Sus scrofa: one gene and its partners. The protein of the gene in region 1 interacts with the protein of each later gene in a pairwise test. Links are inferred from orthologs where the notes say so. Each region holds a gene or a part of one and is shown on either strand. Other genes may lie near its edges.

What was found. The genes of interacting proteins can lie anywhere in the genome.
Region 2: the proteins of CEP63 (region 1) and FAM161A interact in binary tests that used the Homo sapiens proteins (3 or more experiments, as listed by UniProt). The two-hybrid records come from large-scale screens. The link is inferred for Sus scrofa from reciprocal best matches to the Homo sapiens genes CEP63 and FAM161A.
Region 3: the proteins of CEP63 (region 1) and SNRNP70 interact in binary tests that used the Homo sapiens proteins (3 or more experiments, as listed by UniProt). The link is inferred for Sus scrofa from reciprocal best matches to the Homo sapiens genes CEP63 and SNRNP70.

The regions. Positions count from the first base shown.
Region 1 is NC_010455.5:75,672,006-75,675,632, forward strand, and holds part of CEP63 (centrosomal protein of 63 kDa), read left to right. Parts: intron 1-1,458; coding exon 1,459-1,692; intron 1,693-1,966; coding exon 1,967-2,106; intron 2,107-3,331; coding exon 3,332-3,469; intron 3,470-3,627. UniProt on the Homo sapiens protein: Required for normal spindle assembly.
Region 2 is NC_010445.4:79,959,105-79,962,731, forward strand, and holds part of FAM161A (protein FAM161A), read left to right. Parts: intron 1-1,264; exon of another isoform or gene 1,265-2,346; intron 2,347-3,315; coding exon 3,316-3,542; intron 3,543-3,627. UniProt on the Homo sapiens protein: Involved in ciliogenesis.
Region 3 is NC_010448.4:54,298,261-54,301,596, forward strand, and holds part of SNRNP70 (U1 small nuclear ribonucleoprotein 70 kDa), read left to right. Parts: intron 1-1,708; coding exon 1,709-1,814; intron 1,815-3,336. UniProt on the Homo sapiens protein: Component of the spliceosomal U1 snRNP, which is essential for recognition of the pre-mRNA 5' splice-site and the subsequent assembly of the spliceosome. SNRNP70 binds to the loop I region of U1-snRNA.

The DNA.
Region 1 (3,627 bases):
TAGCTTTATGGTAAATCTTGAAGTTAGGTGACATTATTCATCCAACTTTCTTCTTCTCTTCAGTATTATATTGGCTATTCTGAGTCTTTGAATCTTCCTATAAACTTTAGAATCAGTTTGTTAATATCTGTAAAATAACTTGCTGATATTTTGATTGGGATTGTATTGAATCCATAAATAATATGGGAAGAACTGAATCTTGATAGCATTAAGTCTTCCTTTCCATAAACATGGAATATCTCTTCATTTACTTTGTGATTCTTTGATTTCATTTATCAGAGTTTTATGGTTTTTCTCATATAGATCTTGTAAGTATTTTGTTAGATTTAAATATGAGAATTCCTGGGTCCCACATCAGGTTTTGAGTTTAGATCTCCTGGGGTGGAGCACAGGAATCTACATTTTTTTTTTTTTTTTGGCCCCAGTGTACAGTGGCTTAATGAAGGATCACAGCTCCCAGGCCAGAGATCAAACCTGGGCCTCAGTGGTGAAATCATCAAGTCCTAACCACTAGACCATCAAGGAGCTCCCATATTTTATTAGATTTATTCTTAAGTATTTAATTTATTTATTTATTTATTTATTTATTTTTTTGGTCTTTTTAGGGCCACACCCACAGCATATAGAGGTTCCCAGGCTAGGGGTCCAATTGGAACCGTAGCCCCTGGCCTACACCACAGCAGTGCCAGGTCCAAGCTATGTCTGTGACCTACACCACAGCTCATGGCAATGCCAGATCCTTAACCCACTGAGCAAGCCAGGGATTGAACCCGCAACCTCATGGTTCCTAGTTGGATTCATTTCTGCTGTGCCACGATGGGAACTCCACAGTATTTAATTTCTTTAGGTGTTAATGTAAGTAGCAGTGCGTTTTTAATTTAAATTCCACATGTTCATTGTTGGTATATATATATGGGAAAGTGATTGACTTTTATGTATTTGACTTGCATCCTAAAATCTTGCTACAATTGCTTATTAATTCCAGGATTTTTTTTTTTTTAGTGGATTCTTTTCAGATTTTCTGCATAGGTGATCATGTTATCTTTGAACAAAGACGGTTTTGTGTCTTCTTTCATTATATATATATACCTTTTATTTCCTTTTCTTGCCTTATTACATTAACAGGGATATCCATTGTGATCTTGAAAAGGAGTGGTGTGAAGGCACATCCTTGCCTTGCATCTGATCTTAATGGGAAAGTGTTGAGTTTACCGCCATTAAATGTAATGTTAGCTGTATGGTTTCTGTAGATAGTCTTTATCAACTGAGAAAGTTTCTCTCTATTCCTGTTTTTTATCATGAAAATTTTTCTATTATGAATGAGTTATATATTTTTAATGAGTTAATACTTTATGTTTTTATAAAAGTAAAACTCATGTTTACATCATTTTAGTCTTCCTTACTCATAGATTATACATCTTGTCACTTTTTACCAATTGTTAATCTGTGTGTTTCTAGGCTCAGCTTGCCAATCGGAAACAAAAATTAGAGTCTGTAGAGTTGTCTAGCCAGTCGGAAATCCAGCACCTGAGCAGTAAGCTGGAGCGGGCCAACGACACTATCTGTGCCAATGAGTTGGAAATAGAGCGCCTCACCATGAGGGTCAATGACTTGGTTGGAACCAATATGACTATTATGCAAGAGCAGCGGCAAAAAGAAGAAAAATTGAGGGAATCTGACAAACTGCTAGAGGTATGTTTTTAAATTGTGGTATACTATAACTGAGGAAATGTGTGTTTCAGTGTTTTAAGAGAAACTAATTAACCTAGGACTAGGTTCCAAAATCTGTGGTTTCTTCCCTGCTCTAACCAATGAATCAGATACTGATATTAATAACAGGATCGAAATAACAAGCCTTATTAATATTAAGCCTTATTAATTCACAGTCTGACCCACTGGCTTCCTCTTCCTGTGGTACAGAAAAATTGTAATAACATCTGACTTTTTTTCCGAGTATTTTTTGTAGGTTCTACAAGAAGAAAAGAGAGAATTGAAGGCTGCTCTTCAGACTCAAGAAAATTTTATCCGTGAAGCAAGAATACAAAAGGAGAAGCTCCAAGCAAAATTAAAGGCAGCTGACACTCAACACACATTAGAGACCATGAGGTACATTTACTCTTTTCTGGGCCTCACCCATGGCATGGCGGAAATTTGGGGGCCAGGAACTGAACCCATGCCACAGCAGTGACCACACCAGATTCTTAACCTGCTGAGCCACCAGGGAACTCTTATTTGATCTTAAATTATTAATCTTAGCCACAGAGTGATTTAGCATTAAGTGCCATTTTTAATATTGCCTTTTCATAATTTTGTATTTGATTCTATTATGGTTTTTGTTTTTAGTTTTAGTTTTGAGTTAAATTTTTATAGTATTGGAAAATATCGTGTGGTTAGTTTTTTTCTGCCTCCAGTTTGGGTCCCTAACCAAGGAATCTGACGTTTAGAAAGTTAGAAACCCCTGTGTCAACCTGTACCCTTGGTGAAAGTGAAAAGATATGAAAGGAATTGTAATCCATATCCCCTGGGAAGCATCCCTTCCTTGGTAGAATTAGTCTTGATTAGTAGCTGCTTATTTATCATCAGTATCATCAATAAGCCAGTTATGGAGTTCCCGTCGTGGCGCAGTGGTTAACGAATCCGACTAGGAACCATGAGGTTGCGGGTTCGGTCCCTGCCCTTGCTCAGTGGGTTAACGATCCGGCGTTGCCGTGAGCTGTGGTGTAGATTGCAGACGCGGCACGGATCCTGTGTTGCTGCGGCTCTGGCGTAGGCTGGTGGCTACAGCTCCGATTCGAACCCTAGCCTGGGAACTTCCATATGCCGTGGGAGCGGCCCAAGAAATAGCAAAAAAAGACAAAAAAAAAAAAAAAAAAAAAAAAAGCCAGTTATTAAGATAGCCCTTTAAAAAAACTTGTGAAACTAATTTTATTTCTATCTATGAATTGTTGCTATGAGATTTGTGTGGAAAGTAAAAGGAGAAGCTCTACTCCTTTTGCTTGAATCTGGTGCACATTCTGTTGTTACCAGAACTCTCCGTAACCTCAGTTTCTTTGACTGAAGGGGTCAAGGGTCAAAAAGATGGTTTTTGTCATTTTGTCTTTTTCTCTTGAAAAAACAGGCCAAATCCCAAGTGAGAAAGGAGTAAACTGTTGCTGACTTTTTCAAGAAAAATCTTCTCTGCCTCTTTACTCTCCCAGTGTTTATTATTATAAAGCAGGAAACAAACTGAAGAGTTCCCTTACCAAAACAGTTGGGAAATATGAACTGGCTCAATGTTGTTTTTGTTTGTAAAGATACAAGGCCTTAACAGTCCTCCTGGGTCCTCCCATAGGTCACTGGAGGAGGCTCAGGAAGAAAGGGGGTATCCCTCTCAAGGGCAGGGGGACTTGGAGAAAGTGCTCTCCCGGCTGGATTTTACCCACACTAGTGAAGAACTTCTCCAAGCGGAGGTGACTCATCTGGAAGGCAGGTAGATAATTACATACAAATTCAAAAACATCCACATTGTTAAAAATGATTTTTGGCCATTACATTGATAAAGTAAGCTGATATAACAAGTGAAAACAAAAGTTTTTTTCTCTTCTATCCTCAAATGGCCTAACTTCTTATTTCATTGAGATTAAAGCT
Region 2 (3,627 bases), on another chromosome or scaffold:
ACGGGAACTCCCAAGGCTTTTTTAAAAAAGGATGTTCTAAAAGAACAAAGGGAAGAGCACATGGATACTTTTGTCCAAAAACTGTTTTTTGTCTTTTTAGGGCCATACCTATAGCATACGGCAGTTCCCAGGCTAGGGGTCAAATTGGAGCTTTAGCTGCTGGAGTACACAACAGCAATGCCAGATCTGAGCTTTGTCTGCTACCTACACCACAGCCCATGTCAACGCCAGATCCTTAACCCACTGAGCAAGGCCAGGGATTGAACCCACATCCTCATGAATGCTAGTCAGATTCATTTCTGCTGAGCTATGATGGAAACTCCTAAAAACAGTTCCTTGTAGTATCCACCTATTTAAAGATGGATTTTGAAAAATAGTTCCTTTCTTAATGCTCAGTGGAATGTAGCTCTTTTTTTTTTTTTTTTTTTGGTCCTTTTTTTTGGCAGGGGCCGCACCCACGGCATATGGAAGTTCCCAGGCTAGGGGTCAAATCAGAGCCGCAGCTGCTGGCCTATACCACAGCTCACGGCAATGCCAGATCCTTAACCCACTAAGCAAGGCTAGAGTTTGAACCTGTGTCCTCATGGATGCTAGTCAGATTTGTTTCCACTGAGCCACAACGGGAACTCTGAATATAGCTCTTTAGAGCAGCCAATATGTCTTTGACTGCTTCAGTCCTTTGTGAGAGAATGTCTTTCCTTGGTGTTTTTTAAGCTGGACATTCATTCATCCAACAAAAATTTATTGAGTGTCTGCCACTGGCCAGGCACTTTTCCAGTCATTGGGGACACAACTGTGAACAAAGCTGACAAATACTTGTTTTTGTGAGACTTACTTTTTGGTAGGGGGCAGGCATATGATACACAAATAAGCAGAGATATGTAGCATGTCAGTCGGGGGTGAGAGAAATAAAGCAGAAGATGGAGGCTGACAATGAGTCAAGAGGGGGAGGTTGTAATTTTGAGTAGAATGTCAGTGAAGACCTTGCTTGGAAGCTGACATTTGAGTAAAGATCTGAAGGAGTGAGCAGACTTTCCCCTAGTCAGAATGAGGTATTTCTTCTGTGAGTTCTCATGGTGTCTGAAATTGTCATGTGTGGTCACTCATCTGTCTCCTTGCTCAGCAGGGAGCTGCTCGTGGGCAGGAAGCAGTTGTGCTGTCTCATTTTGAGTCTGCTATCGATTATTTATCTACATGTTCTCTCCTAAACTACCTGGAAGCTTCTCAAAGGTGCAGTTTTTATCTGATGTGTATCTTTCAGCAGCTAGCTGAATGCCGTGTGTCCCTCAAAACTGAGTGAGGAAATTAATAGAACACTCATTCCCACAGCCAAGAAGGCTATGGTGAAGAGCAACTGCAGAAACAGCATCAGGTAGCAGACAATTCTCTTAATTGAGTTGTATGACTCTTAAAGCAATTCTCCAATTTATTTGGTAATACATTTCTGCACACTAGTTCTACTAAAAACTTGTTTTCCTGCGTTCGTTTTCTCTAAGTTGTCCCAAGTGATACGACCCTGGCCTCCTGTACTGTTTTTAGCCCATTAAAAAGTTATATCTATAAATATGACTGACTCCTGAATTTTCCTGTTGGGAGACACCCCTCAGATTTATTTTCTAGAGTTTCATCAGACTGAACCTATACTTTTCTATGGCAAATATGCCTTTTTCATTTTGAGTATCCTTCAGGCACTAGGCTAATTTAAAACCATGGTCAGCAGCCTTTTATGCATATAAGTAATTTCAATTGTTTCCCACATGAAAAAATATTAAAATTTTTGTATTTGTATAGAATGTGGGGTTTTACCTCTTTAGTTGTTTGAGCTAAAAGAACTTTGAAAGGTTTGTGAGAGGAAAGAGGGGAAAAGATCAGTCGTACCCTTGCAGGCATGTAAATAGAATAGCCCCCCTCTGCTTTCTTGTTCTCTTATCTACCCCACAGTCCCTGTCATCCATGGCAGCTACTGTTTTTGTAGCCCGGGGGAGTGGCTGTTCTGGAAGTCCCTCCCACCCCTTCCCACACCCTCCTCCTCCCTCCCGAGGTATCCCCCAGTATCCAGGAGGGCATCTTCCTGGCTCCTTGATAAGTCCCTGAGCACTCTGTTCCCTCCATTCCCTGTGCCACTGTCCTCTCTTCCCTGGCACACCCTGGGGCCCGCGCAGCAGGAGCCCAGCTGGGGGAGGTTGCTCGGTTTGCAGCAGGAGAAACTGTGTTCCCCTTCATCTCAGGTAAACCTACACTCAGAAGGAGCCTCTATGAAGGGTGGGTTGGGAGTTCCCGCTGTGGCACAGAGGGATCAGAGGCATCTCTGCAGCACTGGGATGGATCCCTGGTTGGCACAGAGAGGTAAGGATCTGGTCTCACTGCAGCCGTGGAATGGTGGCTTATATCTGATTCCTGGCCCCAGAACTTCCATATGCCTTGGGGTGGTCAAGAAAGAAAAGAGAAAGAGGAGTTCCCGTCGTGGCACAGTGGTTAACAAATCCAACTAGGAACCATGAGGTTTCGGGTTCGATCCCTGGCCTTGCTCAGTGGGTTAAGGATCTGGCATTGCCGTGAGCTGTGGTGTAGGTTGCAGAAGCAGCTCGGATCCCGCGTTGCTGTGGCTCTGGCGTAGGCCAGCGGCTACAGCTCCGATTCGATGCCTATCCTGGGAACCTCCATATGCCACAGGAGCAGCCCTAGAAAAGGCAAAATGACCAAAAAAAAAAAAAAAAAAAAAAAAAGAGAAAGAAAGAAAAAGATTTAGTTTTATACTTTCACAGTGTATGGGTTAGTACATGATCTGGGAATCTAACCATCCTTTATAAAATAAATGAAATAGCATTTATTTTTGGGCAACTTGGTATCTCTCATTCTGAATAAAATGTCATTAAGAGAAAATGTATCTAGCTACAAGTAGCTTATAATCCATTATGTACAGAGTCCACATGTAACATATAACCTGATTAAGGGGACTTTTAAAATTTAAAACAGCCTTGGGGGAGTTCCTGTTGTGGCTCAGTGGGTAACGAACCCAACTAGTATCCAGGAGGATGTGGGTTCCATCCTTGGCCTTGCTCATTGGGTTAAAGATCTGATGTTGCCTTGAGCCATGGTATAGGCTGCAGATAAAGCTCAGATCCTTCATTGCTGTCACTGTGGCATAGGCCAGCAGCTACAGCTCTGATTTGACCCCTTGCCTGGGAACTTTCATATGCTGCAGGTGCAGCCCTAAAAAAAAATAAAAATAAAAAAGCAGCATTGGGAATCAGTGTCAGCTTAATTTGGTTTTCAATTCCAGACATCATATAACATTTTTTTTCCTCCTACCAGGCTGATTTTAACACCGACGTTTCTGGGGTGAGTGAACAAAAACAGGATTTTGTGAACTTTTCTGATATTTACTACTCTAATGAAGAGTATTTCAGGAAACTAGAAGAGCTGAAGGCTGCCCACATGGAAACTATGGCCAAGTTAGAGAAAATGTACCAGAATAAACTAAATTTAAAGGAAGTTCAGCCAGTGGTCACCAGGGAAGAAGCTGCTAGTGTCTCTTCTAAGTAAGTTTGTACATAATGTTATTTGTGGAATGTAAAATAAAATGTGTACCTAAAAGTGCAGAACAAAATTATTTCAGAATATTTT
Region 3 (3,336 bases), on another chromosome or scaffold:
CTTTGCTTGACTGGGTTCCCAGTCCCTAAACGCCTTCCCCTGCTCCCCTCCTCTGGGCGCAGGGGCCGCGCGGCCCCTCCTCGGATCGCGGACAGCGCTCCGTCTCCTGGACCCCCAGGGCTGTCTGCTGCAGGCCAGCCTTTGGGCTGAAGCAGGTGGTGGGAGGGAGTGCGGAGCTCGAGGCGGAAGAGGCCTTCCGTGTGCCGGGCGGGGGCGTGTGCCTAGTGTAGCTCGGACTTTGCTGGGAGAAAGGGAAGGTGCACAGGTTCGTAAGGCCTCCCTGGCCTTCTTTTTAAATTCCAACAAGATAGGCCTTTGGCTTTACAGCTCCCAAGCTTGGCGTGAGTCCTCGTGTCCCCCTTTCAAGGCCTCCACGAGGTCTCTTTGGGGTCCGCCACTTCCTCTGCCTGTCTCCAGGTGGTGCAGGAGGTGTGGCCCCTCTCCTTCCCGTGGCTCCCTAGAGGCCCCGGTTCCCCTTCCCTGTAGCTTTAGCTGACCTCGTGGTGGTGGGTGTGGGGTCTGTGCGCGTGCTCAGGTAAGCTTGGGGGCTCCAGGTAAGCGGTCCCGTGTCCCCCCCCCCCCGGGAAGCCCGCCTCCTCGCCAGGCCCCCAGGAGTTGCCGAGCCCCCCCCATCCCGCTCGGTTTGGACACCCGCAAGGCCGGCATCGGTAAATGGCACCTTTTTCTCTTCCTCTGGTTGTTATTTGGGGGGGCGAGGGCTGGGGCGGGGCAGGGTATTGTGGTTGGTTGAGGACAGCCCCCTAGCCAGGGCCGGGGGTGGGCAACAGGGACTCTTCTGGCCTTCCCAACCGCCCCCCAAGAGATAGGCCAGGGAGGGGGCCTCTGCCCACAGCTCCCCTCTGCTCCTCCGCCTCCCGGGAGGCTCAGGCTGGGGCCGGCCTCCCAGGGCCCGTTGCGCTGGAGGTGTTGCGGGAGCAATGGGATGGGGCCGGGGCTGGGCGCAGGCCTTTCAGGTAAGGCAGGACATTTGCAGTAGCACCACACGTCTCCCACATCTCCCTCCACTGCCCCTCAGCCCCACCTGCTGTAGGGGCCCCTCCAGGCCCCCTGGGAGCCCCATAGCCCGCCTTTCTGCTCCCTTCCTCCATCTCCTAAAGATCTCCCTCCCCCTCTGGTTCATTTTCTGTTCTGATGTCTGTTCCCCCCACACTCACCCTCCCCGGAAAAAAAAAAAAAAACCCACAGAAAAAGGAAACCGTTGTGAACTGGGGTGCAGAGGGGCCCAGTTGGGCCTGCTCCCCCAGCATGATGTTTTAGGGTGCATGCCTGGGGTTGTGGGGGAGCCCTCCCCCGCAGCAGAGTCCAGCCTTAAGTTAACCTCTGGTTTCTTTGCAGCGACTTTGGCCACCTTGGCAGGGGGGGCTGCTCTGTCGAATGGGAGTGGGGACTTGGGACGGCCTGGGAGCCGGGGGGCGGGGGGGGGGGGGCGTGGTCTGCCCCCCAGTGGCGACTGGGGGTGATGAGCAGCTGCCGATGGAGCAGTCCCCTCCTTGTTTGGGAAGGGATGGGTCTGGCTGGCAGTTGCCTGGCTGTCTGGTGGGTGTGGGGGTGTGTGTGTGGTGTGTGTGCACGTGTGCGAGTGTGTTGATGGGGACCCGGGGGGCGGGGATGCCGCAGGGCTGGGCCTCAGCCTGACTAGAGGACCCTCTGGGGACTCCTCCCCTCCCCCTCCCCGCGTCTGTTGCAGCCGCTTACAAGCACGCAGACGGCAAGAAGATTGACGGCAGGAGAGTCCTCGTGGACGTGGAGAGGGGCCGAACTGTGAAGGGCTGGCGGCCCCGGCGGCTAGGTGAGCACGTCCTGCTGAGGCTGGGCTTGGGGTCCTGCCCTTGGGGGCTCCTTTCTTAGCTCTTTTCTGCACCTCCTGCCGCGCTCTGTCCTCTCTTTCTCTCCTGGCTGCGCCCATCCTTTCTTCCTCGCGCCGGCTCGTCCTTTGTTCTCAGCGTCATTCTTCTGGTCTGTCTGCTTGTTCTGGGTTACCCAGTAGGAGCAGGAGGACTGACCTAGAGAAAGAAGCCAGTTAGGATCGAATTCTGGCTTTCGAGCTTCGTGGCTGGTGGATTTCCACTCTTCATCCCTCCTTTTCCCTCGTCCTGGAAAGTGGGGCTAACCTCAGGTCCCTGAGCTCAACCGTCAGATACCCAGCTGGGCACGTGGCATTTGTTGGGTCTTGGAGTCACTCTCATCTGTTTATGCTTTCCTCCTCTCTGTTGTTCGATCATTCATTCACTGGTTTAGCAAACGCCTCTTTGGTCACCAGCTGTGTACCAGGCTCCTAGTCAAGAGCAGGACATACACAGATGGCGTCTCTGTCCTCAAAGCCTTCTCCGTCCAGTTCCCTCACTGTCTGTCTCTAATTATCGGTCACCGTCTCAGTCAAGATCAATTGGATAACACGTATGAGAAATTTGTGCTTCCTTGGGCGTTCTCTTGTGGCACAATGGGTTAAGGCTCTGGTGGTGTCACTGCTGTGCCACAGGTTCAGTCCCTGGCTCTGGAACTTGCATGTGCCATAGTCACGTCCTCCCCCAAAAAAGACATTTGTGCTTCCTAAGGTATAAAGGGGCTTTGTTGATAGAGAATCTTAGTGTCTTTTGGAGCCTAGAGGCATGTGATGCCTGTGACCGTCCTCTGACGGCCTCGTGGCCAGACCTTAACTGTCAGGAACCACCTGTGGCAGCTTGCTTCCACGCTGTTCACTCTTTCTGTAAACCAGACTCTTTGGTACCTACACTGGTCCAGTGTGCTGTTTCAAACTCCCTGCTTCGGAGTTCCTGTTGTGGCTGGGCACTAACGAACACCACTGGTATCCATGAGGACACAGGTTGGATCCCTGGCCTCACTCAGTGGGTTGGGGATCCAGCATTTCTGTAAGCTGTGGTGTAGGTCACAGACACAGCTCTGATCTGGCGTTGCTGTGGCTGTGGTGGAGGCCGGCAGCTGCAGCTCTATTACAACCCCTGGCCTGGGAACTTCATATGCTGCAGGTTTGGCCCCAAAAAACAAACAAACAAAAAAAACAACCAAAAAAACAAGTGCCTGCTTTGCACCCAGCCCTGGGTGAGTCTGTGTTTCCAGGTGGGTGAATCAAAATGGCTCAACATTGGGCTGAGGTCCTGCCATCCAGACATGGCTGTTGAGGACGAGCTCCTGTGAGCGGGAGAAGCTGTTGTCAGAGAAAACCATCTTCCTGGGTGGACGTCCCAGGAGGGTCCCTTATGGTCCGTCCTTTGTCCTCCCAGGCCACTGTTCTCGCTTTCGACCTGTGTGCTGAGTAGACCGCACTCTCCTCTGCCGAGTCTCTGAGCCTGGTAG